4 linked regions of the Callithrix jacchus genome follow. The protein of the gene in region 1 interacts with the protein of each later gene in a pairwise test. Links are inferred from orthologs where the notes say so. Each region holds a gene or a part of one and is shown on either strand. Other genes may lie near its edges. The genes, in order: PKNOX1, NUP58, PBX2 and PBX3.

Region 1 (7,501 bases):
CCCCCCCACCAGGGTCTATACTTTGTATCACTTTCAGTTTCAGGCTTTCCTTCTAAACAGTTCAGACAGTTTTAACAATTTGCAACAAAAATGTAAGCTGCAAATAGGATGTTACTTATCATTAGCAGCAACTTTCTATTTCTGCTATTAACTAGTTTTTTTTGACATGGAGTCTTGCTCTGTCGCCCAGGCTGGAGTGCAGTGGCGCGATCTCGGCTCACTGCCACCTCCGCCTCCTGGGTTCCAGCGATTCTCCTGTCTTGGCTTCCCAAGTAGCTGGTATTACAGGTGCCTGCCGTTATAGCCTATTAATTTTGTATTTTTAGTAGAGACAGGTGTTAAACCACGTTGGCCAGGCTGGTCTCGAACTCCTGACCTCAGGTGATCCGCCCACCTTAGCCTCCCAAAGTACCGGGATTACAGGTGTCAGCTACTGTACCTGGCCTCACAAGTACTACTTTTCTCAAGTTACTGCCAGAGAAACGTAACTACATATAAATCAGAGTACAGGAACCCCAAGAAAATGCGTTATACCCAGTATCGTTAACCATAGAACCTGCTGACACTTATGCACAGAATGTTAATCCTGGAAATAAGCCATACTTCACTGACCATGTTTCATCAATTCCAAGGCACACTTTTGCTTTTTGGGTTTTTTTTTTTGAGATGGAGTTTCACTCTTGTTGCCCAGGCTGGAGTATAATGGTGTGATCTTGGCTCACTGCAACCTCCGCCTTCTGGGTTCAAGCAATTCTCCTGCTTCAGCCTCCTGAGTCGCTGGGATTACCCGCCTCCAATCACAGCCAGCTAATCTTCACCCTCCCAAAGTGCTGGGATTATACACTTAAGCCACTGCGCCCCACCTAAGGCACACTTTTCAATGTCTGAAGTGGAAAGCATCCTTCACTGAGGTGGCAGAAACACACCATGTCAGCAGGCATCGGGAGCCTCTGTGCAGGGCACCGCATGGTGCGCTTCAGACACCACAGACCGTGAGCAGCTTATGTGACTGCACGTTGCTTCACTGCACTCAGCAGACACTGTATGGAGAAAACAAGCCTACTGGTGTCAGTTTTCCAACACCAAGAGCTCACTTTGCATCTGTTACATTTTGGTCATTCGTCAGTATTTCAAACTTTGTCATTATCATGTCTGTTCCGGGGATCTGTGATCAGTGATCCCGATGTTCCCACTGTATCTTACTGGTGTGTCACAAACCTGTATTAGACAGCGAACTTCACGGATAAATGCTGTATTCCAACTGCTCTGCTGCCCAGCTCTGCTGCCCAGCTCTCCCTCTCCTTGGACCTCCCTACTCCGGGAGACACCACAATATTGAAATTAGGCCAATTAATAACCTTACAATGGCCTCTAAGTGTTCAGGTGAAAGGAAGAGAAACACCATCTCCCACTTAAAATCACAAGGCAGAATGTATTCAGCTTGGTTAGAAAGTCATGTCAAAAGCCAAGAAAGGCCAAAAGCTCGGCCTCTTGCATCAAAAAGTTAGTCAGGCCGGGAACAGCAGCTCACACCTGTGGTCCCAACACTTTGGAAGGCTGAGGCAGGAGGGCCACTTGAAAGGAATCACCATTCTGGAAAGGAACTTCAGAGACAGCCTAAGCAACACAGTGAGACCTCACGGCATGGTGGCTTATGCCTGTAGTCCCAACTACTTGGGAAGCTGAGGCAGGAGAATCACTTGAACTGGGAGGATGCAGTGAGCTGTGCTGAGATCACACCACTGCACTCCAATGTGGGAAAGAGAGCAAGACTCATCTCAAAACAAAGCTCCTTTAAGTTCTTAAAGGAAATTAAAAGTGCTACCCCAGTGAACACACAAATAAGAAAATGGCCAGGCCCGGTGCCTCACAGCTGCAATCCCAACACTTTGGGATGCTGAGGCAGGCAGATTACTTGAGGTCAGGAGTTCAAGACCAGCCTGGCCAACACAATGAAACTCCATCTCTACTACTAATAAAAAAAAAAAGTACCCGGGCACAGTGCTGCAAACCTGCTATCCCAGCTGCTCAGGAGGTTGAGGCAGGGGAATCACCTGCACCCAGGAGACAGAAGTTGCAGTGAGCCATGATCATACCACTGTACTCCAACCTGGGCCACAAACAGTCTCAGAAGAAAGGGAGGGAGGGAAAGAAAGTGAAACAGCCTTACTGGTGATACGGGGAAAGTATGAGTGGTCTGGACAGATCAAACCAGCCACAACACTCCCTTAAACTGAAGCCTCATCCAGAACCAGGCCCAAATTTTCAATTCTATAAAGGCTGAGAGAGATGAGAAAAATGAGGAAGAAAAGTTGGAAGCAGCAGAGGAGAGGCTGGTTCATGAGGTTTACGGAAAGAAGCTGTCCCATTAACACAAAAGAACAAGGTAAAACAGCAAGTGCCAACAGAAAGAAAAGCTACACCAGGTTGTCCAGTAAGTCTGGCTAAGATCACTACTTCTGCCTATACCCTGGAAATGGAATAGCACATTACTGAACATTGTAAGCCCACTGTGGGGTCCACCGCTCAGAAAAAGATTTCTTTTAACACAGTACTGCTCACTGACAGTGCACCTGGCCACTCACGAGCTCTGACAATGCACAAGGAGATGAATGCTGTCTTCGTGTCCATTCTGCAGCTATGGATCCAAGAAGTAATCTTGATTTTCAGGTCTTAATTATTTAAGAAATACATTTTGTAAGGCTATAGCTGTGGTAGCGATTCCTCTGATGAATCTGGGCAACGTAAACTGAAAACCTTCTGGAAAGGAGTCACCATTCTAGATGCCATTCATGATTCATGGAAGGAGGTCAAATATCAACAGTAACGAATTTGGAAGAAGTTGAGTCTAACCCTCATGATGACTTTGAGGAGTTCAAGACTTCGGTGGAGGAAGGAACTGCAGACGTGGTGGAAACAATAAAGACTTGCTTCTCATGGGCACGCAAAGAAAGTGGCTTCTTGAGATGGAGTCTATTCCTGGTGAAGACGCTGTGAACACGGCAGATATGACTTAGAACATCACATCAGCTTAGTGGACAGCAGTGGCAGAGTGTGAGAGAAGAGCCTCCAACTTTGAATTTCCACTGTGGTTAAAATGCTATCAAAACAGCATCACATGCTACAAAGAAGTCTTTCATGAAAGGAAGAGCCCATCAATGCAGCAAACTTCACTGCAGCCTTATTTTAAGTAAGGGACAGGGCCGCCACCGCGCTCATCAGTCAGCAGCCATCCACAGAGGCAGGATTGTCCACGTACAAAAAGAGCAGGACTCACCTAAGGCTCAGATGATCTTTAGCATTAACACAAAAATATTTGTTAATTAAGGGAACCACACTTTTATAGATATAATGCTTGCTACTGCGCACTTTAGCGTAATTACAACTTTTCTATGCACTGAAAAACCTAAAACTGTGTTGTGTCACTTGCTTTCCTGCAATAGTTACTGGGGTGGTCTGGACTAGAACTCAGATTACCCGAGGCACGCCTGTGTACAGAGAGGATTCAGCAGCCGCTATGCCAAGTAAATGCCACCGAGTGAAGGCTCGTTCCAGCCAGCCTGCCACCTTCCAGATCCATCTATGACCAAATGCATGAGCACCGCCCATCACCGCACTGGCAGGGGTTCGCGTTTCACCTGGATTCTCATGTCTAGAAAAGCCCGTTTTCAGAGTGCCGGGAAAAACCTCAAAGCAACCTAAGGCTGGGGGTTCTCCCATCCCGAGGAAAGCACGCGCTTCCTAAGGGAAAACTGCCCCGTCTCGACAAGCAAACTCCCCACCCAAGGAGCTGCGGACCCCACACAGGCGGGGCACCCGGGGAGGGCGCAGCCCGCGTCGCGCTCAGCCCGGCCGCCCCGGGCCAGACCTCCGGGGGCCGCCATTCCCGGACCCTCGGGCCTGGCGTCACGAATCCGCCATGGGAACGGAGGCCCTAACCGGCCCGGTGGCAGAGCCACTGTCCAAATAAGGCATCTCGCGGGCCGCGCGCATGACACACAAAGCGGACTCCGGTTTCTTTTCCGTGAGCGACTCGCTGACAAGTGTCGGCATTTCCAGCTCTTCCCCGGCGAGGCCGGCGCAAGCCCCCGGGCGCCAGACCCTGCCCCGCTCTTCCTGTCGTCCATTTCCCACCCGTTCCCGGGACGCCGGGGCCGCTTCCCAACACTGCGGACAGCGCGCGGCCCTGGGCCGATCCCGAGTCCCACCGCGACCACGGCCCCGGAGACCGCGCGCTCGCCACGACCAAGGCAGGGGCCGGGGTCGCGGCCGCCATCTTCCTGCCTGCGCTGCCGCGCGCCCCGCACCCTCCGCGCAGCCCCGCCGGCCCGGAGGACCCCGGAGAGGCCGAGGACCCGCCCGGCCCCACGCGCGTCGCCCGCCCCGCCCCGCCCCCGCCGCGCGCCCCCGGCCCCGCGCGCCCCCGGCCCTCAAGCCCGCCGCCCCGCCCCCGCCCCCGCCCCCGGCCGGCTCCGCGCGCCCCCGCCCCGCCCCGCCCCCGCCCCGCGCAGGGGCGCGCGCCGCGCTCCGAAAGGGACGGTTAGGAGCGCGCGCTTCGAGCGGGCCCAGCCGGCGGCGGCGGCGCCTTCCAGAAATTTCCGCGTCCCTCAACCCACACTGAGAAACCAACTGGGCGCGCCCCCGCGCCGGCTGTGCGGACGGCGCCCCCTCCCCCGCGGGTGCCCGATCCCCTCCCCCACCCGCGCCCCCTCCCCGCCCCCTGCCCCGGGCGGCGGGTCAAGTGCGGGCCCTCCGGGGCAGCGCCGGCCCTCCAGACCCGGGCGGCAGCGGCGGCGGCGGGCGGCGGCCGCGGGCCGGTGTGATTGATAGGGACGGCGGCGGCGAGAGCGGCGGCGGCGGCGGCGGAGCGGTTGAGTGACAGCTTACCTGGGTGCCAATCTTCATCACACTGACAAGCGGCTGCAGCAATCGGGACCCGCAGTGCCGCGCCCGCGTCCAACCGTCACGCCGACGCTGGGCCACGCGACACAGCCTCGCTCAATGGGAGGAGGGCGACGCCGACGAGCGCCGCATCAATATTCAGAGAGGGGGCGGGGCCTGTCTCTGGCGAGCCCCGCCCCTCCCTGCGCGGCGGCGGCCGCGGGGCGGGGCCTATGCGCCGGGGGAGGAGAGCGAAGGCGGGGGCCGGGCGACGGACGGCCCCGCCTCCAGCCCCGCCCGCACCCGGAGCCAGGCCCCGCCCCAACCAGCCGCGCCCTAGCGCGAGGAGCTGCGTACCCCGCCCCGAAGGCAGAGCTTCCCGCCTCATGACTATGCAGCAGGGGCGTGGTCTTGGCGCGCGCCACGCCCCCTCCGCGCGCTCCTTGCGGTCCGGGAGACGTGTGCGAAGGCGGGAGAAACCATCTGCCTCGAGCAGGCGGGGAGAGAGGGTTGTACCATCCGTGGCCCCACAGCTGGGCGTCCCAACGCCGAAGGCCCGCACAGTGTGCGCGCCCCCTTTAGGTGCCAGCCTGCAGCAGCCGTGCAGCCTTCCACCCCAGGCTCCGGAGCGCGGGTGGGCACGGGCTTGAGCGGCACAGTGGATGCTCACATTCCTCCCTATCTGCGGCAGCGCTGTGAGTGCCTGGCACCTGAGGCCTTACCCTGGGCACTGTACCCCCTCGGTGTGAGGACCCCAGCAGGGACTCATGTTGTTCACAAGTGCTTCGGGCTGGCCTCTGGGCTACTTGGCCTCACTTGAACACACCTTCTGGCCCAGGTGAGCCTTGCAGGTCTAGGTGACCGATGCAGCCTCCAGGTACAGGGCACTTGCCGTAGGGGACGCCGACCAGTGTCTGCATTTCAAGCTGTGCTTTGAAAGACCACCCTAACCGATCACTGCCACAACGTACCCACGCGTCCCGATCGTGGCTTTGCTCTCCAAGATGTACAGAAGATGCGACACATTCCCATTGCGTAGGAAAGCACACGGTTTGCCTGACCGGCCTCCGGTGCTGCAGAAGCCTTCATTTATGCAGTGGCCCACCGAGTGCAGTCAGGGCTCTGAGTCCGCACACAGCGGTGGAAGGGCAGCTCTGTGGGCCCCCACTCCTCCGGGAAGGCAGGCAGGCCCAGGACAGGAGCTGACTGCTGCAGGGAGCCAGGGGTAGGTGTAGGCATGAGCAGCTCAGAGGACATCTGTCCTGTGTCTTCAGAGCTCCACACAGCCAGAAGGTCTTGGCTAAGTGCTGTGCAGCCGCAGAGCCGCCTGTTTCAGAAAGATGGAGGGCATCAGGGCGGGCTAGAGGGAGGCCCTGAGATGCTCGCCGAGGAGGGAAATTCAAGGGCACAGAAAAAGCTCAGTATTCAAGACTAAGCATAGTCTGCAGAGCGTTGTAGAAGATGCAGATGCAAGTGCCCAGAGGTGTGGGAACAGAGGGGCTCCATGGGTGCTGGGTGAGCTGAAGCTGAGACCTGCTGGGCTGCACCCCAGTGGGTTCAGGCGTCCTTAGTAATAGGATGAAACGGGGTTGGATCAAGACACAGGTCACAAGGATCCTGCTGATAAAACAGCACGCAGTGAAGAAGCCAGCCAAATCCCACCAAAACCAAGATGGTGGAGAAAGTGACCTCTGGCCTTCCTAACTGATGATTATAAACTAATTATAATACATTAGCTTGCTAAAACACCCTCCTGCCAGCGCCATGAGAGTTTACAAATGCCATATACTACACAGTCTAAAAGGGGCCAGGCACGGTGACTCACACCTGTAATCCCAGCACTTTGGGAGGCCAAGGCGGGCAGATCACTTGAGGTCAGAAGTTGGAGACCAACTTGATTGATATAGTGAAACCCTGTCTCTACTAAAAATACAAGACAATTAGCTGGGTGTGGTGGCACATGCCTATAGTCCCAGCTACTTGGGAGGCTGAGGCAGGAGAATCCCTTGAACCCGGGAAGCAGAGGTTGCAGTGAGCCGAGGTCACACCATACTCCAGCCTGGGCAACATAGTGAGACTCCATCTCAAATAAATAAATAAATGGAAGAAGAATCCTAAGTTCTGGGAATTCCCCACCTCTTTCCCAGAAAATTTATGAATAATCCACCCCTTGTTTAGCACATGATCAAGAAATAACCATATAATTCAGGAACGGATTCTAGAAAAAAAAAAACCCGTAAAAGTAGCCAACCAGCAGTACTTGAGGCTGTGCTCTTCCTATGGAGTTGCCTTTCTTTTTTATTTACTTCTCTAATAAACTGGCTTTCACTGTACTCTGTGGAATCTCCCTGAATTCTTTCTTGTGTAAATTCCAAGAACCCTCTCTTGGGGTCTGGATTGAGACCACTTTCCAGCAGCACAAGGTCCCTGGCTCAGAAATTACAGTGAAGAATTTCAAGGCAGTGACAGCAGAAGACAAGCCTGGGCCCTTCTCAGCAGGGGCAGGGGCCTTGTGACGTGCTGGTCAGGTCCCGGGAAGTGGCCCTGGACTCACTGGCCACACTTAGACCTGCCCGGATCTGAAGCTTTCATTTCTTTGCATACAGCCTGTGAGACAGCA
Region 2 (7,483 bases), on another chromosome or scaffold:
AAGTCTCAAAAACCCTGGAACGTTTCAATGAAAGAGGAAATGTAAGAGGAACCCAGTAGTGTGGCTGGGTTCCAGTACCAATTCCCCCATGTTCTGGTATTTGGATGCCATTCCTTAACCTTTCTGAACCTCTATTTCCTCATTTGCAAAATGGAAATTAATAGTACCCGCTTAGCAGAATTTTTTAAATATTAATATTAAATTAATTAATAAAAGGGTTAAGGAACTGCACAGGGTGAATTAACTTCAGTAAATGTTGTTATGACTGTTATCGTTAGGGATACTTATAAATTCAACTAAACATATTATGTACAAGGCGTTATGCCAGGAATAGCGAGGGAGCAGAAAGATGACTAAACCCTTACTTAAGGAACACGCCATTTACTGGGGGATAAACAACACAAATAACTGTACTCCAAGCCATAAGAGTTCTCCAAGTTACTTGGGTCTGGGGGTCTTCAATTTCATAATCAGCCCGAAAAGCCACTCAGGTTTTTGCAAACACTGGGGGACAAGGGAGAAGGAAATATTCAAGCAGTAGAAATGTACACCTTCAGTAAGTTTATAATTACTATTAGGCAGATTATAATCAAGTACCAAATGATAGCAAAGAGATACTGCAGAAGTTTGAGGCAGAGCTAATCACTGAGATAAGAATGGAGACAGAGGAGCTTATTAAGGGATAGAACTTGAGATGGGCCATCCATACTGAGTAGGTAAAAGGAGAGGAAGTACTTAGTTTACCACTGATCTTTAAAATATGTTTGTGTGCACCAGAGAATTCGAAGTCGAGGCAGAAGGTAGAGCAGGGCTGCAAGATCTCACCAACAATTAAAACAGATCTTGGCCAAGCTGAGTGGTTCATGCCTGTAATCCCAGCACTTTGGGAGGCTGAGGTGGGCAGACTGCTTGAGCCCAGGAGCTTGAGACCAGCCTGGGCAACATGATGAAACTGTCTCTATGGAAAAAAACTAGAAAATACCCCGAAAAACAAAAATTAGCCAGGCGTGCTGCTACATGCCTGTAATCTCAGCTACTCAGGAAGCTGAGATGTAAGGATCACTTTAGCCCACAAGGTGGAGGTTGTAGTGAGCTGAGATTGCGCCACAGCATTCCAGCCTGGGAGACAAAGAGAGGTCCTGTCTTAAAAAAAAAAACCAAAAAACAAAAAAACCCACAGATCTTTAAACATTTACTCTGAAATTATAAGGTATTTTTAAGAACATATTGCTACATTCAAAACTAAGTGAGATATCACACATACAAAAACCTAAGTGAGCACTACAAGCAAAAGAATACAGTATGTAATGGCTATATCCAGACAACATAGGTAGGACAACCATAAAAGAGGCATATATGCCAAAAACATTTAGCTTAGCTGGTGGTAGTCTGATTGCATTGTTATTTTGAAACTGTTCTGTGTACAATGTGGAATAGAATAAATGGCTATCTGGGGGATATTAAAACACTATTGGCAAATTTTGAAGACATATAATTAGGAAAATGGTTATTAAGCTTTCCTTATTCCCAAACAAATCAGTGATCTCATTTTTTTAAAATTGCTATTTTGGAAATATACAAAAGATGAAAAGTAAACATTTGTATTTTTACACCATGAATTAAAATCTAAAATTTCTTGACAACAGGCAGGGCATGGTGGCTGAGGTGGGGGGTCACCTGAGGTCGGGAGTTCCAGACCAGCCTGGCCAACATGGTAAAACTCCTGTCTCTACTAAACTTACACACCCCAAAAAAATTAGCTGGGTGTGGTGGCGTGCCTATAATCCCAGCTATTCGGGAGGCTAAGGTAGGAGAATCACTTGAACCCAGGAGGCAGAGGTTGCAGTGAGCACCACTGCACTCCAGGCAGGCTAGGTAACAAGAGTGAGACTGTCTCAAAAAAAAAACAATAATAATTGTATACATGTATAATTTCTTGACAACATAACTTGAAGATATTATGAAGTAATAATGGAAGTTGAAAATAACTTCATAACTTGAATATATTATGAAAAAATAATGGAAGTTGAAAATACTGCCAAAGAAACATATCAAAATGAAATCTTATTCTACCACAGAAGCAAAAGAGAAATTTACTAAATTCAAGAAAAACAAAAGCTACCCTAGACTTGACCAATTACCTCCTCAAACCAGTGTTATCTGCCAGGGACTTTATAGGATGTGCTGTAGAAAAGCCAGCTTGACTCCATCACATCAGGAATGTTATTTTAACTTGCCCAGCTGGCCCTAATGCAGACTTCATAGCTAACATAATAGCTAACATTTATTGAGCACTTAGCAAGTGCCAGACTTGATATTAAGTATTTAAATGCTTCATCTCACTCAGCAACTCAGGAAATATATTACACTCCTTTTCCAGATGTGAGAACTCCTCTAAAATGACTGACCTCAAGAGATCTAATCATCAGGTGGCACTGGGGGCTGTCAGGCCTCCCAACCAGCACTCTTAACAAATTTACGTCAGACTGTCTCCTCTTTAATTTATCCAAGCCTCTCCAAAGCTTGGGTCATTTTCTTCTAGCTTATTACTAGTAACTCATTTGCTCAGTCATTCAAATTGTTATTAAAGCCCCTTTTCTATGCCAGGCACTGTTCTTGGGACTGAGGATGAGGTGGTAAATAAGACTCTGACCCTGCCTGCAGGCAGCTTCTAGTCAGTGAGAGACATAGATATTAATTATTCTTGTGCTGGGATCTAACAAGTTAACATTAAATATAAAGAACTGATTACAATTGTGATTAGCACTGTAAGAGTACTAATGAGAATGGAAACCTCCCCTAGACTGACAGGTCAGTAAAGGCCTCTCTGGGGAAGAAATCATTTGACAGTCGCAAAAGATAAGTAGGCATAAGAACTAGGCATATGGCGTAGAAGGAAGGGGTTGGCAAAGCCCACTTGAGGAAAAGAGAAAATGCCATGTTGCTAGGGCAAGGTTTCTCATACTAAGATCAGGACCATGAGAGAAGTATAAAAATTAATTCATCAAGTTCTAAGAAACATTAAAAAAAAAAAAAAAAAAAGAAAGAGAATAGAAAATATCAAAGTGCATCCAATGAAGTAAGGTAAGTGTCCCCCTCTGAAACTTTGTTTCAGTTATTTATTTGTCTGCAGGTACTGGTGTACTGGGTAGTAATATAGTTGTCTGTTTTTAAGAGTGAGTCTGGATAACTGAAATAAAAAGACCGGCTCCAGATGAGTCCCCAGAGGTTCCAGCAGAAGTGTACTTTGCAGACTATGGTAAGTTTGTTGTTGTTGTTGTTGTTGTTTTAACTTCATTCTAAGGATAGTGGGAAGTGATTACAGGGGGAGCAATTTGTCTTTTAATTATTCTGGCTACAATGTGGCAAAATGGATTGAAGACGTTGATAGGAGTAGCTGTCATCTAACACAAGACAGCTGGTTAAACATCTGAAAAGAATCAGAAGTATTTTCATAAGAATGTAAGGATCAAGAGAGCAAGACTCTCATGTTACTACGTAAAACTGAGCCTTGCACATGAGAATCTGTCCAATAAATATTTGTTCCAAGAATGACAATAGCTGAGCAGGGTGATGGAACTGGAAATAAAGACAAATGGAAATGGCAGAAGTAAAAAATTATTAGGATTTGATGTTGAGCGAGTAGAGTAAGAATAACGGAGGAATGGATGAAAACTCTCAAATGTCTGACTTGACTGTGTAGTCTGTGATTCCTCCTCTTTTTTTTTTTGAGACGGAGTTTCGTTCTCGTTGCCCAGGCTGGAGTGAAATGGTGCAATCTCCGCTCGACGCAGCGTCCGCCTCCCAGGTTCAAGCGATTCTCCTGCCTCAGCCTCCCCGCCCCATGTTGGTCAAGCTGGTCTCAACTCCTGACCTCAGGTGATCCGCTAACCTTGGCCTCCCAAAATACTGGGATTCCAGGCGTGAGCCACCTGAGCCACCCGGGGCAGCCTCCTCCCTCTTTAAACTGCAGGTCACGCTGAGGTTTTTGCCTTTTAAATCTACAGCCACATCTTTTAAGCTTCAGGAGATATTTTGTTGACAGTGTGCACACTTAACTTTATGAACCCCCCCACCTTTATCTTGAAAAAAATTGAGTTTTAAAGCTTAAATCTCTCATTAAAATGATGTCTCACCATTTTGTCTCTTTCTGGACAGTTACATTTTTGTCGCCACCTCAACAAATGGGTTGCACAAAAACGAGAAACATGCTACCTACATTTTGTAATTTAAGTGAAAGACAATGTTGAGTTATTAGGATACAACATTCTTTAGTCCAATATACTAAACTGCACATATTGCACAAAATCACCAATAAACACTGTAAAAAGGTGTTTTTGGTTTTTGTAAATGATAACAGATAAGGTCCCACGTGGCACAAAAGCTTGAAAGGCTGGTTATAAATAACTGCAAAGTTATTAAAACACCGTAATATCCAAAACCGCAAATGCTGCAATGAAATCGGAATTATCTATTACAAAACCCCACAATATGCTACAATTTCATTCATTCATTCAATGTTCATTCCATGCTTAAGACTGATGCCTCGCTAAAGCTCCGGGGTAGAGCCCCGGGCCTCTCCACCCAGCCAAGACCCCTCTAGGTCCAAACGATGCCTGAACTTTACATGGATTCCGGAAACCTCACAGCACAGAACCCATCCCGCCCTCTACCTCACCAGGCCGCGCTGGGCCCTGGCACCGCGGCGAGCGAGAGGCCTACGACGCCGGCGGCTAGATAAGTGTTACTCTCCAGCCCCACCGGGAAGGAAGCCAGCGGGAAGAGAGAGGATGGGGACGCCAGGAAGCTTCGAGGGGTCGGGGGAAAGGGAGATCCGGCCCAGGAAGGCGAGAAAGTGCGGTTACCTAGACGCTCCCGTCCCAAAAGAGAAACCGCCGCCTGTGCCGGTCCCGCCGGGGGCCACGGTAGTGGAGCCCAAAGTCCCGGACCCGAAGGAGAACCCCGTGGACATGTCTGCTCGGAGCTCGACGCCGTCAGCAAGATGAAAGGGGTCTGGGACACTTCTCTCGTCTCAAAGCCGAGGCGGGCCGGGCTGCATCTCTCTCGCCCGGCACCGACCTGGCGGGAACTTCAGCCCCAATGGTTGCGAAGGCGAGGCTGAGTGGGTGGAGCAACCACGCAAAAGCAGGGCGACGCTCGCCGCGTTCCCGTAGCCCGCCGGAAGTGAGCCCGCCGCGCAGGGAGTCCTGGGACAAAGGTAGGCGTAGGCGAGCTGCGCAAGGCACCCCGGGACCCGGCGGGATCGGCGCACAGCCTAATCTCTTAAAGGAGCAGGCTCTCAGAGTTTAAAAACAGACCATTTCTGTCATTTTTAGTTCTTCTATCTGACTGACATAATCTGCACTATAGGGTGTACTGACATAATCTGCACTATAGGGTGTACTGACATAATCTGCACTTTAGGGTGATGAGCGTCATTACTGCTTCTATTAGCCTTCTGCCAAAAATGATGCTCAAAATCACAGAATTGGGGAGGTCCCTCGAGAGCATCTCCAAGTTCCCCACACAGAAAAGAAGACGGCTTAGGGCTTTCGTTGGCTGCCGCCCCATCCCTGAGAAGGAAGAGGAGCGTGTCTGCTTCCTGAAAGTTCGGAAATCAATGGATAGTAATCCCTGCATCCGTCCCACGAAGTGAGCCCCACCCCTGCGCCGCAAGCCACTCGGACCCAGATGGACGCGGGTCAGGCGAGCCCGACGCGCAGCCCCGAAGGGGACCCAGAAGAGCGTCCCAGGTGTCCGTGGGGCGTCCGGCTGTGGTCCTGGCGCCCAGAAGTGACCAGGTCCCCTGGATCTCCTGGCCTGCGGTTAAGTCCACAAATACTGTCCGCGCATCCTGATGAGGGAGAGCGGGACCTGGGGCCGAGCGCGTGTGGCGCCCGCAGGAGGACGATGCGCGGCTCTAGGGCGCTCGGATACACGCTATGCTGGAGGAACTGCAAAGTGGAAGGTTTGGGAAACGCACAAAGATGTGCGATAGAAGGCGAAATGTAAGGGGTAACTTACATTTCTAGGCTATCTCGAGGAAAATTCTCGTTTAAAGAGAGACCCTCCAGCGAAGCATCCAGAAAGACTTCCTGGTGGTGGTACATTCAAGGATTGTCATCATAGTGTTAGTTTTTATATTTCCCTCAGGGATTGTTACATTACTGTCCCAAATGGTTGTCCTACTCGTGATCTCTAACAAAATCCATTCCATAAGCAACCCCCGGATTTATTTTCCTAAAACAATACCCACCACAACCCTGCCTTGATCTAAAAAGCCGAGTGGCTCTTTAGTCTGGCAGTTGATGTCGTCCATAAGATCAGTCTTTCTAATCTCGTCTCACAGCTCTCCTTAATTCAGTACTTTTCCTTGCGTTGAGCTTGGGCATTGCCATCAGCTTCGTACTGAACATATATCCCTCCTCCCCCAATCCGTCTGTTAAAGCCCTACCCCACCCCAATATGTTTGTATTTGGAGATGGAGCCTTTGGGAGGTAATTCAGTTTAGATAAGGTCACCCGGGTGGGTCTCCCATGGCAAGATTAGTGCCCTTATGAAAAAAAACAACAACAAAGAGCTTGTTCTTCTCTCTGTGCCATGTGAGGACAGAGCTAGAAGGGGCCTTCACCTGGAACCCAAACTGCCCCATCTTTATCTGGGACTTAGCCTCCGGAATTGTGAGAAGTAAATGTCTGTTTTTATAGCTACCTCAGTCTATGGTGTTTTATCAGCTAAGCAGACTAATATACCACCTCTGTATTTGTATAATTTAAAAAAATAAATATGTAACATTTTATTTTATTACTGTTTTAAATTTAATTTAACTTAATTTATAGTTGATTTTATTTTGTTCGCTCTGTTGCCCAGGCTGGAATACAGTGGTGCGATCTTGGCTCACTGCAACCTCCATCTCCTGAGTTCAAGTGATTCTCCTGCCTCAGCCTCACAAGTAGTTGGGATCACAGGCACACACCACCACACCCAGTTAATTTCTGTATTTTTAGTAGAGATGGGGGTTTCACCATGTTGGCCAGGCTGGTCTCGAACTCTTGGCCTCAAGCAATCTGCCCACCTTGGCCTCCCAAAGTGCTGGGATTACAGGTGTGAGCCACCACACCTGGCCATAACATTCTAAATGTCATGTAGGTCATAATGGGAATGATAAAAAAGAAAACAGGGATATATTTGGACTAAGATATAAATAAAAACTTCATAGTTATTGAACAGGAGGCAAAAATAAAAGATTGTTGTGAGTTTTAAAACTTCAGTGTTACAGAGAATGCCATTTTCAGTGATGGCTATAGGGTGGCCAGTATGAGGATTGTTTACATAAAATCTAGGGGCTTCCTTTTGACTGAAAAAACAAAAGATCCACATGATTTTTATGGGAAGATAGAAAGATGCTCCCTAGGTCTTTTGATTTTCTCATATATTCTTTCCAAAACTTTTGAAGAATACCAACCTACAAATTAGTAATAGC
Region 3 (7,595 bases), on another chromosome or scaffold:
GGGGGAGACAGAGCCCACACTCCCCTTAGGGGTCCCATTCTTCCTGCCATGTAATTAGCACCCCCAGCACAGAGTCTAGTTAGGGAGGGCACGACCCCACTGGCCCTCCTCTGTCTTGTGCTTGTTCTGTATTTGGGGTTTGTCCTCTGGATGCCTGCGTCCTCTTCAAGAGTCGCCTTGTGAGCGCCCCCACCCATGTGACCCTGAGGGGCAAGATCAAGATCAGTTGGAGGTGTCAGAGTGAACACTCCCTGGTCCCTCTGTTGCAGATGTCACTGAAGAGGGGGTCACAGCCTCCTGCCAGCTGCCATTTGCCTGGAAGAAGGTAGAGACAGAGTATAGAAAACAGACAAGGCCTTGGGGAACCCTGTATGGACATACCACTAGGGAAAATGCCCCTCTGTCCTGCGAGTACTGGACAGAGAGGTGCTTCAGGATCCACTCACCCTCATTTCCCGAGGGCTGTACATCTGGCCTCCCCCGAGGTTATCCCCATAGCCCCCTGGCCCCATTGAATGTCGAAGTGATTCCACCTGCAGGGAGCAGAGAAAGGTATGACAGTGAAGAGACGCCTCAGATAGAGGTCTTGTATCCAAAAGTAGGGAAAATGGAACCGGAGAAAGCCCTACTCAAGAGGAGATGGGCGTCTGACCTGGGAAGCAGAATAGGAATCTCCGTTGAGCCCAGGCATCCCCAGAAACATGTCTCCAGATCCTGAGAGATTGAAAGAGCCGCCAGAGCCTTGGGGGAACAAAGAGGGAAGAGTGTAATAGAGCTGGTGATGGTAGAAAGGGGATGACCCACAACTCTCAGTTACCAGAAAGCCCTCTGTGGGGACATGCTACTATACTCCAATTATCCACAAAGCAACATTCCAACACACAGAAAGAGCAGGCTGTTCCTTGGCCACCCGTGGGAAGAAAAGCAGAACTAACTTCACAGAGTGGCCTTTGCCCCTTGACATCTCCAGCCTGTCTCAGCTTGGTCCCTCTCACCCAAAAGGCCCCCTCTCTGCTATCATCTTGCCTAGACAGGAAGTGGGAACAAACACAGGAAATGTGCACAACAGTCAGCCAGGGTAACAGTGGGATCCACCTGCAGAGGAAGGGGGTGTTGGGGAGCTGGTACGGCTGTGGCCCCCCTGAGTAACTGACACGGCGGTCTTGACAGCATAGATGTTTGCTTCCTCTTGGAACTTTCCGATGTTTTTCTTATATCGAATCCTCTTGTTGCCAAACCAGTTGGAGACCTGTGGGGCAGAAAGGAGGGTCAGGTAGAAACCTTTGCCTCTCAAGTCCTTCACTGAGTAAGATGTGAGTGAGAGCATTTTTTTTTCTTCCTGGTCTATGTTGTTGCCCAGGCTGGTCTCCAACTCAAGTGATCCTCCCACTTCAGCCTCCCTAGTAGCTTTGATTATAGGAACACACCACTGCATCTGGCTGAGATGAGTGCATTTTGCCTGAAAACTCCTCCCCAAGCCCCCATAATACCTGAGAGACAGTGATGCCACACTTCTTGGCAAGCTCCTCCTTGGCCTCCTCACTGGGATATGGGTTACTCAGGTGTGAGTAGAAATACTCATTTAGGACCTCAGTGGCCTGTTTGCTGAAGTTACGGCGCTTTCGTCTACAGAGGAGGGAGAAGAGCTGTGAGGAGGACGTTGGTGTCCTGGCAGTGCTGCTGTATGGCATGACCCCAGAGTCACCACTGTCATGGAGTACCATGTTGTGCAACATGGCAGCTCAGGGTCTTGGAGAGGAATGGGAAGGAGACCAGTGCTGGGGGCCAGCCTGGGTCCCTGCGCTCACCTGGCATCCAGGAAACGGGAACGCAGGATCATGACAGCCTCGCAGGTGCTCTGCTTGAGCTGCATCTGGATGGCGCTGAACTTTCGATGGATGATGCTCACCATGCGTTCCATCTCTTTAGGGGCCACGGGCCTGGTGCGGCTCTGCTCCCTCAGCAGGTTCATGACATGGGTTGTGAACTCATTACATGCCTGTAGTGGGGGCCCATGGGCTGGTGAGGAGGCACCCCGTGGGCATGGGATTCCCCTGCAAGAGCCCTTCCCTCCACCCACCCTAGCATGCTCTCCTCACCTGCTCATACTTCTCCAGCTCCGAGTGGTATATGTGACGGATTTGGGCAAGTTTGCTGCGATAGTCTGAGTGTTCGATGGAGTTGTCAGGGGACACACCACCCCCAGAGGCTGCAGCGGCCGCAGCTGCTGCTGCTGAGCCACCCCCTTTCTCTGGCCCAGCCACACCCTCTGCCAGAAGCATGTTGTCCAAGCGCATCAGCTGTGGGTCCACCGGCTCCTCCTCCTGGGAGCTTCGAATGCTGAGGCCTAGCATGCAGGCAGTGGACTTAGGAACCCAGGGACCCCACACCCAGTGCTTAGTCCTCCTGGTGCCTCCTGGAGAGCCAAGTTCCCAGGCTTTGGCTCCTTCCCAGTCCCCCTGACTCCTCACTTTCCTCAGGGCCCCAAGTTGTCACACTCTAGCCCTATAGTGAACAGGGTTCTGTCCCCAGAGTTGAGCAATCGGGGGACCCACATACCGGTTTTCTCCTTGATTTCACACAGGACGCTAAAGAGAGCAGGCTTCATTCGGTGGCAGTTTAGGGCGTGTTTCCTTGGGAGGAGTGGGAGTGGGGAAAGAGAAAAGTTGAGGAGCCAGAGAAACAGAGCAGGGGGCCTGAGAACAAGCAGGGAGGAGGGTCAATCTTCGGAGGAAGCGGATTGGGGGTGGAATGGCTTTGGGGAGGGGAGTTCTTGGGAAAAGATCAGCTCCCAGAGCCGGGGAAGCTGCTCCGCTTCAGAGGCACAGGGAAGATGCAGCAGCAGGCTAAAGGTACCACTGGTAGGCCGGGGGCTTTGGGAGACGGTTAGAAAGGTATGTGGAGAAATGTGGGAGTGAATGGGGAAAGGAAGGTGACCTGGTACGTTTCAGAGGTAGAGAGACAGAGGCTGGGGTTGAGAAGAGTCAGAGTTTGAGGTGGCAGAGTGGGGTTGGGGCTGCCGAGCTGACTGGGGAGATCCTGTGTGTGAAGGGGTCCTGGGGCTGAGCAGGTGTGGGGCTTTGATACACCTAGTGTCTGGCTGAGCCGTAGAGAGGGGCTTTAGGGGCTCTGGAGAGGGGTGTGGGGGTCTCTACATCTGGAGAGAACGAGGGAGCTGGGTGGAGAGTTAGGGGAGAAGATAACATAGCCCAAGAACAGTTTCTTAGTCTGGGAGCCAGAGGGGGCTCCGGAGATGGGACTGTTCCAGGGGAGTGTGGGGGTCAGCAAAAGGTTAGGAGGGGGAGCGGGGCCACCTGGGGTTCCTTCTGTGAAGGTTTCAGGGCCTGGGGGTGAAGGGAGGTTTGAGAGGGATCACTTTTCTAGGGGCTCCCAGGAGTAAAGAGAGAAGAGAGCTGTTGGATCCTGAAGAGGGCCCTGGAGTTGGGGGGCTCCCAGAAGATTCAGAGCATGTGAACGGGGTTTGCTGGGTCTGTGTGGGGTCCCGGGGTGGGGGCACTCACTTGGCCTGGGCCTCGTCCAGGCTCTGGTCGGTGATGGTCATTATCTGCTGCAGAATGTCCCCGATGTCTTGCTTCCCTCGGCCTCCCGGGACCCCCCCGCTACCCCCACCGGGGTCTCCGCCACCGGGAGGCTCGCCAGGGCCCCCAGGCTCCCCACCCACCAATCCCAGGCCCCCCCGGCCCCCACCTGGAGGGGGTGGCCCCAGTAGCCTCTCGTCCATAGCTGGGGGGGGGCCTTGAGGCCCCCTCCCTGCTCTGTCCCAACCCCCGCCTGGTTACTCCCCCCCAAACTCGCTGGGGCCGCTGCTCCCTCCGCCCCAACCCCCGCTCGTCTGCCCCCGGCTCCCGGCTCCCCCGGGGGTTCACCCCGGCACTGAAGGGAGACCTGGGGTACCGGCTGGGCCCCCCACAGGAGACCCCGGCCCCCGGCGGCGGAGAAAATGGAGCCGGAGAGAGAGAGAGGAGGCCCAAGCGGGGGTGTGTGTGAGAGAGAGGGAGGAGGGAGGAGGGAGAAGCGGGGGGAGCGAGGGAGGGAGGCTGGGGGAGGGGAGCCGGGGAGGAAGAGGAGGGGAGAAGAGAGGAGGAACAGGGAGGAGCTGGGGGCGGAGAGAGAGACACAGAAACAGAGGAACTGAGACCGAGTGGAGGAGGGGAGAGGGAAGAGGGGACGAGGGGAGGAGACGGGCCATGTGAAAAATATGGGAAGGCCCCCTGGCTGGACTTCGCGGCCTGGGAGTGGGGGTGTGGTAGCGGCTGGGGTGGGGTCTGCCACCTGGATTCTGAATCAGGGATCTAGGTGATGTGGACTCAGGCCGCTGGAATCCCTGCGTTCACGGACAGCTCAGTACAGATTTCTTGTTCTAATGATTCCCCTCCCTGTTCTACTTAATTAAAACCAGGAGAGGGGGGCTGGGGGAGATAATTAGGGAGGTCTCCAGCCGCTGCTTAATGAGCCAGTAATTAACCAGCCAGGGAGGGGAGCTGGCCTCTGGCCAGACTGGGGAGAGAGGCGGCCTCTGGCCTCACCTTTCTACCCTTCACCCTGCCCGGGCCCCCCAGACACCAGTCTTCAGTCCAGAGGGGAATTACATTTATTCACGCAATCAAAACATCAAACAGACTCAGAGCAGCAGTGGGGAGGGAGGGTGGGCAGGGCTAAAGGTGCATTCACAGCCTGTAAACCCCTCAGTCTCAGGGATGGGGAATGCTGGTGGTGGGACTGGGAGAATAGTCTTAGGCTTCATCTCTCAGGTGCCCATCTACCTTCCATTCTTACTAGGGGGGAGGGTGGAGCTGTCTCTCGGGTTATAACCTCTCAGGTGGAGGCCTGAGCCCTCAGACCCTGCCTAGTAGCTTGACAAATAGGTGGTGTCCCCACAAGTCAGGGAAGACTCCCAGCCACTCCTTGAGATGGGTGCCTGGGATCCGCCTTCCTGTCTCAAGCTCCCAAAGACTTGGGGAGGGAGTTAAATGACCATTCCACCTTGCCTGTTCCTAGAGTTTGAGGACTTTCACCCAGTCAAGTGCCCAGGGAAGGTAATGTGGGCAATGAATGCTGGGTCTTTCAGTCTCTGGTACCCCTGCCACGTAAGAGTTGAGGGCATGCAATGGTCTGCCCAGCTTTGAGCCCAGGGGTGAGGAAGGGCTGGCTGGGACTCAAGTCTCAGCAGGTGTGTGTCGGGGGCTGGGACCTTTGCTCCTCCATTCGACCCCCACCCTGAACTCTCAGCAGCAACTCCAGGAGCTCCTGCCCCCCTGGAGGGAGGGGAGGCTCTGACCGCTGGGCTTCCATCCGCTGGCACTGGAGGAGTGGAGGGAGAAGGGAGAGCTTTGGTGAGGGTCTGAGGGGAGGACCCTTGGGAATCCGGGTTGGTATAGGGAGGCATATAGGAAATTTCCTGTGAAGGTGATGTGGCAGGTGTCTAGGGAGAAACAGGAGTAGAGCCCAAAAGACAACAGGGGCCAAGAGGCCGGGAGGCCTGGGTTTGCCTCCTGGGGGGATGTCTTACCTGGTGACTGAGGATGGTGCTGTAGAGCTGTTCTCTGTCCTCAAGAGGACGGGGTGGGGCAGGGGCTAGGACTGGGGGGTTTTGGGGGGTGTGAAAGGTGGCCCTCTGCTCCTCTAGGCGGCGGGACTGGGCTTCAGCTACCAGGTCCAGAAGGAGCTCAGTCTGCAGGGAGAGCAGGGAGGCCGAGCGGGGTCCCAGGGCTGGGGAGAGGCGGGTGGAGGGCTCAGAGACCCAGAGAGGTTGGCAGACAGGAGCCATGGGGGAGTGTGCATAGGGTGACATGATTAGGGACTTTGGATCAGAGGAGAGGGGGTGCAATGGGGGATCCCAGGGGAAGTCCGGAGGAGGTGGGGAGAGGGCCCACAACGGAGTGGACCTTGGTAATGGGGTCAGGATGTGGGCACCAGGGTCGGGGCTCTCTCTGGGCAGGTGGGGGTACCTGTGTTATGGGTCCGTGGAGGAGGAGGGGATGGAGGAGCAGATCGCCACGGCCGAGTGGTGGAATTTGGAGGGGGCCAGCCTTGCTCATCCTGAGGGGGGTCCTGATGCCAAAATATGTCCATTCCAGTCAAGCAGTGGTGGTTGAAGCAGGTGGAGTGGACAGGGGGCTAGGCCAGTGGCCCGTTTCCTCTGTGTGTCTCTGTTCCTGCCTCAGTTTGCCCAAGCCTTTCAAGACCCCTACATATCTGCCCCAGGTCCTCTCACCTCCCTTCTTTCCCAGTGTCAGCCTTCCCCACCCTGTGCCCAGCTCACCTGCTCACCATCCTCTTCTTCCTGTGGTCTCTCAGCCTCCATTCCCTGGAGGGGAGAAACTGGTGGGGGAGGGGTGGCTGGGATGTGGGAGGAGGGCTGGAACCTTGAATTCCTGAAGGGAGTGGGGGCTCGAAGGGGTGGGGGTGAGCTGGGGGATGGATGCCTGGGTACTGAGCAGGAAGCTGGGTTCCTGGTCAGCCCCCCACGGGCCCCGCCCATCCCTGTCAACTTCCTCCATTCTCTTTTCCCACCCAAACAGCTTGTTCAGTCTCTCTCGCCCCAGGGGAGCACAGAGACTGGGAAAAACTCTTCCAGCTGCAGGAGTGGAGGGGGCTCATGGTGGGGAAGACTCCTGGCTAGCTCATCTTTAGAGCCTCAGTAGCCCCCTAATCCCTGGCTCTGCTCCCTCCACCCTACCTCCTTTTCTGCTCTTTCTGTCAACACAGGAACTAGCTACACAGGAAGTGGTTTCACTCCTCAGAATCCCCCTCCCCCCAACCAGGTCTCTTCCCTCCCTAAGATAGACCCTGGTGTCTGATCTGGCCCCTGATCTTTTCTCTTACTTACTGGGACTGGGAGGGGCACGGTTGCAGTGGGAAGTAGAGGATTCAGACGCAGGGATGTGGAGGTCTCAAATATATACATATAACCCGAGCACTGGGTCCAACACATAGTAAGTATCCAATACATATGTATTGAATAATCATCCCTGACCTCTAGTTGTTTGCAGTCTATTCAGGAGACGGCTAGGCGCAGTGGCTCACGCCTATAATCCTAGCACTTTGGGAGGCCGAGGCGGGTGGGTGGGCAGGCGGATTGCCCGAGCTCAGGAGTTTGAGACCAGTTTGGGCAACATGGTGAAACCCTGTTTGTACTAAAATACAAAAATTAGCTGGGCGTGGCAGCCTACGCCTGTAATCCCAGCTTCTCAGGAGGTTGAGGCAGGAGAATTGCTTGAACCTGGGAGGCAGAGGTTACAGTGGCGAGATCGTGCCACTGCACTCTAGCCTGTGTGACAGAGCGAGACTCCTTCTCAAAAAAAAAAAAAAAAAAAAAAAAAATACAGTCTATTTAGGAAACAAGATGTGCACCAAATGTGAGAGTACAGGGCAGGGTTCATTTTAGAAACTTAAGAGTTTAGTGCAGACAAGGGGCAGGGCTTTATTTTGGTCACAGATAAGAGCTATAGATATGGAAAACCAGAGGCTGAGGTGGGAAGATTGCTTGAGCCTAGGAGGTTGTGGCTGCAGTAAGCCGATTGTGTCACTGCACTATAGCCTGGGCAACAGAGCAAGACCCTGATTCAGAAAAA
Region 4 (6,818 bases), on another chromosome or scaffold:
GCCCAAAAAGAAAGATTTGACATTTCAAATGTAAAAGATTTGAGTATTTAATGGTCCTTTTTTCCCTTTACAATTGAACATCCTCAATCACTTTTTAAATCATTAATATTTACTCTCAGAGCAAGCCAAGGCCCTAAAAAGGGAGAATTTTGCCCATTTTCTTCCTGAGTCTACTACCATGAGCTGGGCAGTTAATTTCCTTCCTAAGTCTGGAAACCCAGACTCCATCCACCACGCCCCGCGGCACCACCACGATGACCTGATCTCTGCCCCTTTCCCCCACATTCCAGAGCTGTGTGTTTTGCCATTTTCCATCCATGTCAGTGTGGGGAAAGGTAAAGTTGTAGTGAAGTGATTACAAAGTTAAAATTATTTCCTCCATAATTAAAATTGTCAAATATGTTTGCATCCCACCTTGACAATACAGCAGGATGCTTTTAATAACAGAATTCTTCATTTAGCTTGGTTTGTTGGTCTACCTGGGATCCTCCGAACTTATCACCTTCACCTGAGCTCTGTTTGGGAATTTTTCCTGCTGCCTGGTTCTAAGATAAATGACACGTTTTCCACCATTTCCCTGGAACACAGCACTGAAGGTAGGAAATGGCATCTTAATGGGCTGATACTTAAGTCCCTGCTGATGTCAGGACACCAGCCACTTCTGGGCATCAGGGAGGACTTCTAACGGCATCTAGGTGGCATCAAGCATTTAGGTTCTTAGAATAAAAGTGCAGCAAAGACACTGCCTTCCCTACCTGCCAGTAAGATGAGAAGCCCGGTCAAATGGCTATTCATTTCTTTATTAGTCACTGTTTACCTGACACTGTTCTCCTACAGCTGGCTCCCCAGAGTACTCACATTTAAATTATGTGGACTGTACAGTGAATTTCCTCCAAGTCCATCACTGTAGCCTCCCGTCTGATTGATAACATGACGGAGGGTATCCACCTAGAAATGAGACAAAACAAAATTCATCATCCCAAATCTATTAAAACATCATCACTTACAAAAGGAAATCATTTGAATTATGTGTGCCATAAGGGTTTAACATCTTCAATGAAAGACAAATTTATCAATCAAATGTGACTGGCAGAATTTCAACCATTCTTTGCATATTTAAACTCACAAATCTTTGTTTTTCATGCCAGCCAAATAAGAACATCTTCCTGGCAATGCAACTTTCCATCTATGGCAACCAAATGCATGTGGCTATGGGTGAAAACCTACTTGCAACTGTGTATACAGAATTCTCTCCATGCCCCCCTCACAATTTATGTCTCATACACACTCATCTACATGTATAAAAACTATATGAGTAGTTCTGTTCTCAATTAAGAGGACAAGAAAAGAGTAGAAATTACAGAGTTATAATTTAAGAACTCAGGTTTTTGCACTCTGATGTAAAAATGCAACAGCAGTATGTTCTTAAACCATATCCATACTGGCATTCTCCATTTTTCTGTTCTATTTTATGACAAAAGTAAGATGCACCCAACCCCTCTCCATGAGCTCAAGCCAGAGCCGAATGCATTCACAAAGTTTATCAGGTTTGAATCATCACAAGTTACTGTTCACTTGACTTCTCATTAAATTAAATGGTGGGGCAGATGGGTCCTGTTTGGAAGCACCCAGCACAGGTTCTGCATGAATGTGCAGACCACTTCCGTGGGGTCAGAGGAAGGAGTTTTGAGCCCAAACCCTGCCCTGCTAGAAAGGCCCCACTGGGGCACTTCTCCTACCTGTGATTGCACATTGGCTCCGACTTGGGACCCTTGGTAAGAATCCCCATTCAGACTCTGCATGTTCATGAACATGTCCCCAGAATTTGGGAGGTTAAAAGAACCAGAAGAACCTGGAAAGGAAAGAGTTAAGTAGCTGAATAACAGAGAGCTACACACATGATCCTCAAAGACCTAGAGGCAGGGAGAAGAGGAGAGTATGGAAGGGAAAGGCTGTGCACAACATAAAGCATTTCCAGATCTAAGAGGATGGAGAACTCCAGAGAGTGAGAGTCTATGATTCACTCTACATCTAGGAGAAGTCCTATCAATGGGGAAGCCCAAATTTAAAAAACAAAAACAGAAACGAAGAGACAAATCAAAATAAATTAAGAAGAAAAAAGAAACCAAAACACCCAAGCTGACCTGGATGCTTCCCCTTTTTTCCACTGATCTCCAGGACCTAGTTTTTGCGAGCTCGTCAACATCACTAACTGTCACGGCGGACAGCCACCCAGAAAAGAGACTTTCCCAGGAGCTCTTTCTTTGCTATATGCCTCCCTCTCCTTTCACCTGTTTTCATGTGTCATTAAAAAGGACTGGGGGGTGAGGAGACAAGACAAAACAAACAAACAAAAAAACCCTACTTTCTGAACTTCTAAAGATATTATTTAGGACACCTCAGAAAAGCCCCTGGAATTTCTATCGAGTCTGTTTTGACTAGCTGCACATCTTTCATTATTGTTCAAGTTCCCTGAAATTTTAAAGTATTTCTAACCCCCTCACAAATGTCATAGAAAATGTGGCCAAAATGTACCAGATGAGGAGCCAAGAATCTTATATCCATGAATTAAGTACCATAACCCTCATTGCTAGCCACCTGCTGAGCATACTGTCAGCCCCACTTAGTGCTGCTGAAAGGCCCAGAAAGGACAGCAGCGCTGCTGCACTTCCCTCCAGCATTCCAGCTTCCTCACGCACAGCAACTGCTGCGTTCCCCACTTCTGCTATTTCACTCTCCACAGACCACTACTGACCCTAAAGTGATATCTGGAATGAGATAGCTGAAATGATCATGAGCAATAGCACTCTACCTAATTGCTGAACTGAAAGCCACTACTAAGTGTAAAAGTTCCATAATCTACTAGTGAGTGGCACTCACTGTGAAGAGTGGGTTTACAGACTCTGGCCGTCTACTCATTCACCCATATCAAGAACAAGCCTGCATTTGAACATAAATCTTCCTTTATAAGTCCACTGTGTCCTCAGTATGGCTCTTGTTTCCTGGCCTGTGGGACAGGGCATTGTGGCATAAGGCTGTGTGGGCCAACTGGGGAGTGAGCCCCCGCCGTACGCACCCGAATTTGGTGTGGTGGGCGAATTGGTCTGGTTGTTCTGCACAGCTGCTGCTACAGCGTGTGCAGCTGTCACAGCAGTCTTTGCAGCATAGAGGTTGGCTTCTTCCTGAAACTTGCCGATATTCTTCTTGTACCTGATTCGTTTGTTGCCAAACCAATTGGATACCTACAAATTGCAGAGACATGGAGGTGAAGGGAAAGAGAGGAAGTAGTCAAATTCCAGTAATACCTGTTGGACACCAAGGCGATACCTTGGGAGACACACAATTCCTAGCCTGCAACCTTGCATCCTATGGATCATGCATAATGGTTTTAGGGGTTATTTTCTCTTTTGGCAAAACTCTCACATTCCTTTGGAGTAACCCTGCTTTCTTAGAGTTTTCCACAGTAATACCAGAATGGCAGGGAGCACTGCTCATAAAAGATATCTAATTGCTATATACCAATTAGTATATAAATAGGCCCCCAAAATCAGGCAGAAAAGCTGAAGGAAATATTGTTAAGTTAGGTAAATAATAAGAAATACTTGAACATGAACGACTTAATCTTTTTTGGGTCTGGAACAATTTTGGCAGCTGTATAGTAGAATCATGTTTTGTCTGCTGAAAAGAATAACATCAATTAATAACGGATGAAAAAAACCCTTTGTCTTCTGCCTCAGAAAATACTGCATGTCTGGCAAGATGGCTGCTCAAGCTCTGCCAGTTAATATGTGGGAAGGTCACAACTTGAAAACTTAAGTAATTCCAATCAGGTCAAATGCAAACACAGAGAAGCAACTCTAATGTCATCAGGTGAAATATATTTCTTTCTTTTGCAAACTTATGATGTCAGCCGCTGCAAATGGAAGAGATTTCTACAGAGTATCTTGGCAACAGGCAGATTTCATCACATTTCAAGGAGAGCAGAAATTCAGCCCCAGAATCATGGCTCAGAGTTACAGTGTGTTCAGGTACCTGTAATTGACTCTATCAAGAAGCTAAAAGCCACATGGCAATTTATAAGAAAGTATTGCCACTCACTATATAAAAGGATCTGACCTCTCTTTTATTAAAGTAACAGTTTAAAAATACTTTTCAATAATTTCTTAATCATCTGTCAAAGGGGCATATTGCTGTGATATCAGGCTGGGTGGGGTCATTGTTCTACCCTGAAGGTATTATTCTTAACAGCTATTCAGGTGCCCTGGAGAGAAATAAGTAGTAGTATGTAGTTTGAAGGCTTCCAATCCAATTTACACTGTGGGCACCCCTTTTGACCATCTCTGCCAAGTCTTTAATTGCTCTGGAAATAGAATTCTCATTCTTGAATCTATGGCACTCATCCTTCTGGAAGAAGCAGAGAGCCCTGGCAAAGGAGCCACGTGAGGAAGACAATTCTGGCCTTGCTGCTGCCCATGTGCTATCCATCCTGGGGATCACGGGGTGCACACATGCACACATATGCACATGCAGGCATACCTGCCGAGAACCCATGCAGCAACCATGAGCATAGGTTCATCAGACAGAAACAAGCCAAAAACCCATCAGGAAGTAAATGTGCTACAGATTAGCACTTCCTAGCTGTTTCTGTTCCACCATCTTTTTTCCCCCCTAAAAGACTGCATGTATCCTTTCTTTTCTTTGTATCAAATAGAGTGGCTTTAATAACTGTTATTTGGTGAATGACCATGATGCAGAGCACCTTGCATACATTTTTTGATTTTAATGTCAACAATCTCAAGGGCTAGTGGTAGATAGGGGTAGTTATACAGGCATGACACCTGCCCCAAATCCAGTGGCCTTGTGTCTCCCACTAGTTTGACCTCTTAGCAGTGTCTGACACTTGTAATTACCACCCCTCTTTCCTGGAGCAGGCTCTTGCATGGTGTATGTGACATTATACTCCTTCTCCTCCAATATCTGCTCCTTTGCTGATACACAGTGTGTGTGTGCGTGCACACATGCACGTATGAGTGTGTGCATGTGTGCAAGTATGTATTTTCAGACACAGCTCTTGGCCCTCTTCTCTCTTTCACCTAGAGCAACCTTATCCATATTCAAAAAATTTCAGTTATCCTCTCTGGGTGGATGACTCCCAGATTTCCAACTCTATCCACATCATCTGTGAAGACAGTGAATTCTTATTTTTAAAGAGATTTACACACAAATGTTCTTCCCTCTCTTCTCATTTTTAAAGAGATTTACACATAAATGTTCTTCCTCACGTGGCTCCTTTGCCAGGGCTCTCTGCTTCTTCCAGAAGGATGAGTGCCATAGATTGAAGAATGAGAATTCTATTTCCAGAGCAAACTCCAAATCAATGGGTGTCCTCTAAGCCACCTCCTCTATATTCTCTCTGTGGTCCTGATCTCTCAATCTCCAGAGATGTGGTACTCGCTACTTCACGAAATCCCTGCCTCCACTGTTCAATAGTCCTAACAGGTATATAGTTCTCTTTATTCTGAACTACAATCTGTTTCCGTTTCCTTTCCACACATTGGTCCTACTTCCAACATCTAGACTGTCACAACATTAGGCCTTCAAGCTCAGCCCCAAGAGACCTCTCCATCCTACTATTAGCCTTTTTGGCCCTCCCTTCCTTGAGCCCCGTATGCTCACAGCTGGTGTGCATTACAACTGTGTAGGATGTAGGAACAGGAAGAAGTTAGGAGAATTTATAAGCGAGGAGGCCATGAGGGCCTGAGCCAGGCAGAGTAGTAGGATTAGAGAGGGAAGATATTATGGAGGAGAAACAGGCAGAATCTGGCCCCTGACTAGCTCTGGAGGTCACCAGAGAGGGAGAAACCAGAGATGGTGCAGATATGGCACCTAGGCCTTGAGCGGGAGGATACTTGGGAGGAATTTCTGCACCAGGACAAGTCAGCCTCGGTGACCATTAGGATCCATACCAGAATTATGTGAGTCTAAAAACAGAAAAGTTCTAAATCAAGATTAGAAAAGGATGATAAAGGTGTGGGTTCTGATTATGCTTATTAAAGCAAGTTCTCTTTGACCCTACCTCATGTTTCCCAATGCATGCTCTCAGCTCAGGAGACAGACCTAGAGCTGACTTGCAAAAAGCTCCTTTAGTACATAATATCACTCTAGTTTTTCAGAGTAAGACTGTTAGGTCTTAGAAAGAGTTAAATATTGAACATATCTATAGTGCAAAGGAGGACAGACTTGGTTGAGAGGGAATCTGGCATTTCTTAAGCATAATTAATGAAAATTCCCCAACTCTGAATTTAGCAACAAAGGCCCATCTCTTCTTCCAAACAATTCTCTGTTGGATTCAGTACTTTGTAGTTAATATTACCTTGACAATCAGAGAAGCTATAATACATTAATGAAACCTAGCTTGGAAAATCAGATTACAGCTTTATTAACAGTTTCATAATTGAGCAATCTCTGTACCATTGAAGGTCTCATCTCTAGATATGTAAGAATCCTCTGTTTATGCATACCCCTGGACCAATCAAACAACAGTCATCACTAATAAAGGTTTATTTAATTCTCACAGTAAAATTTTAATATCACCAGCAGCCTGGGGAAGCTTTAGCAAGTGGATTTGCTTGACATCAGATCGTTTTTATTCTGCTAGTCCCAATACTTCTTAATCTTTAATATCAAGGCAATTAAAATTAATGGCCACTCATCCGAAGCTACTGTGGGCACTGTTTCCTTGACATCAATTGTTTGATGGGATTACCTAGAGGTTAAACTAACAAGCAAGGTTTAATTGGAAGCAATGAAAGAAGCAG

The links.
Region 2: the proteins of PKNOX1 (region 1) and NUP58 interact in binary tests that used the Homo sapiens proteins (3 or more experiments, as listed by UniProt). The link is inferred for Callithrix jacchus from reciprocal best matches to the Homo sapiens genes PKNOX1 and NUP58.
Region 3: the proteins of PKNOX1 (region 1) and PBX2 interact in binary tests that used the Homo sapiens proteins (3 or more experiments, as listed by UniProt). The link is inferred for Callithrix jacchus from reciprocal best matches to the Homo sapiens genes PKNOX1 and PBX2.
Region 4: the proteins of PKNOX1 (region 1) and PBX3 interact in a two-hybrid assay, tested with the Homo sapiens proteins (2 studies listed by BioGRID and IntAct). The link is inferred for Callithrix jacchus from reciprocal best matches to the Homo sapiens genes PKNOX1 and PBX3.

What each region holds. Positions count from the first base shown.
Region 1 is NC_133522.1:48,708,383-48,715,883, reverse strand, and holds the start of PKNOX1 (homeobox protein PKNOX1), read right to left. Parts: upstream 4,968-7,501; 5' UTR 4,906-4,967; coding exon of another isoform or gene 4,888-4,905; intron 1-4,887. UniProt on the Homo sapiens protein: Activates transcription in the presence of PBX1A and HOXA1.
Region 2 is NC_133506.1:144,537,676-144,545,158, reverse strand, and holds the start of NUP58 (nucleoporin p58/p45), read right to left. Parts: upstream 5,103-7,483; 5' UTR 4,973-5,102; coding exon 4,866-4,972; intron 1-4,865. UniProt on the Homo sapiens protein: Component of the nuclear pore complex, a complex required for the trafficking across the nuclear membrane.
Region 3 is NC_133505.1:39,672,654-39,680,248, forward strand, and holds the start of PBX2 (pre-B-cell leukemia transcription factor 2), read right to left. Parts: upstream 4,007-7,595; 5' UTR 3,743-4,006; coding exon 3,522-3,742; intron 2,853-3,521; exon of another isoform or gene 2,809-2,852; intron 2,634-2,808; coding exon 2,560-2,633; intron 2,348-2,559; coding exon 2,100-2,347; intron 2,000-2,099; coding exon 1,809-1,999; intron 1,627-1,808; coding exon 1,491-1,626; intron 1,250-1,490; coding exon 1,096-1,249; intron 742-1,095; coding exon 653-741; intron 534-652; coding exon 447-533; intron 316-446; coding exon 223-315; 3' UTR 1-222. Other genes in the region: GPSM3 (G-protein-signaling modulator 3), read right to left, coding at 5,185-5,322, 5,531-5,730, 5,970-6,072, 6,284-6,502; NOTCH4 (neurogenic locus notch homolog protein 4), read right to left, coding at 6,315-6,328. UniProt on the Homo sapiens protein: Transcriptional activator that binds the sequence 5'-ATCAATCAA-3'. Activates transcription of PF4 in complex with MEIS1.
Region 4 is NC_133502.1:174,575,688-174,582,505, reverse strand, and holds part of PBX3 (pre-B-cell leukemia transcription factor 3), read right to left. Parts: intron 3,243-6,818; coding exon 3,077-3,242; intron 1,853-3,076; coding exon 1,740-1,852; intron 949-1,739; coding exon 859-948; intron 1-858. UniProt on the Homo sapiens protein: Transcriptional activator that binds the sequence 5'-ATCAATCAA-3'.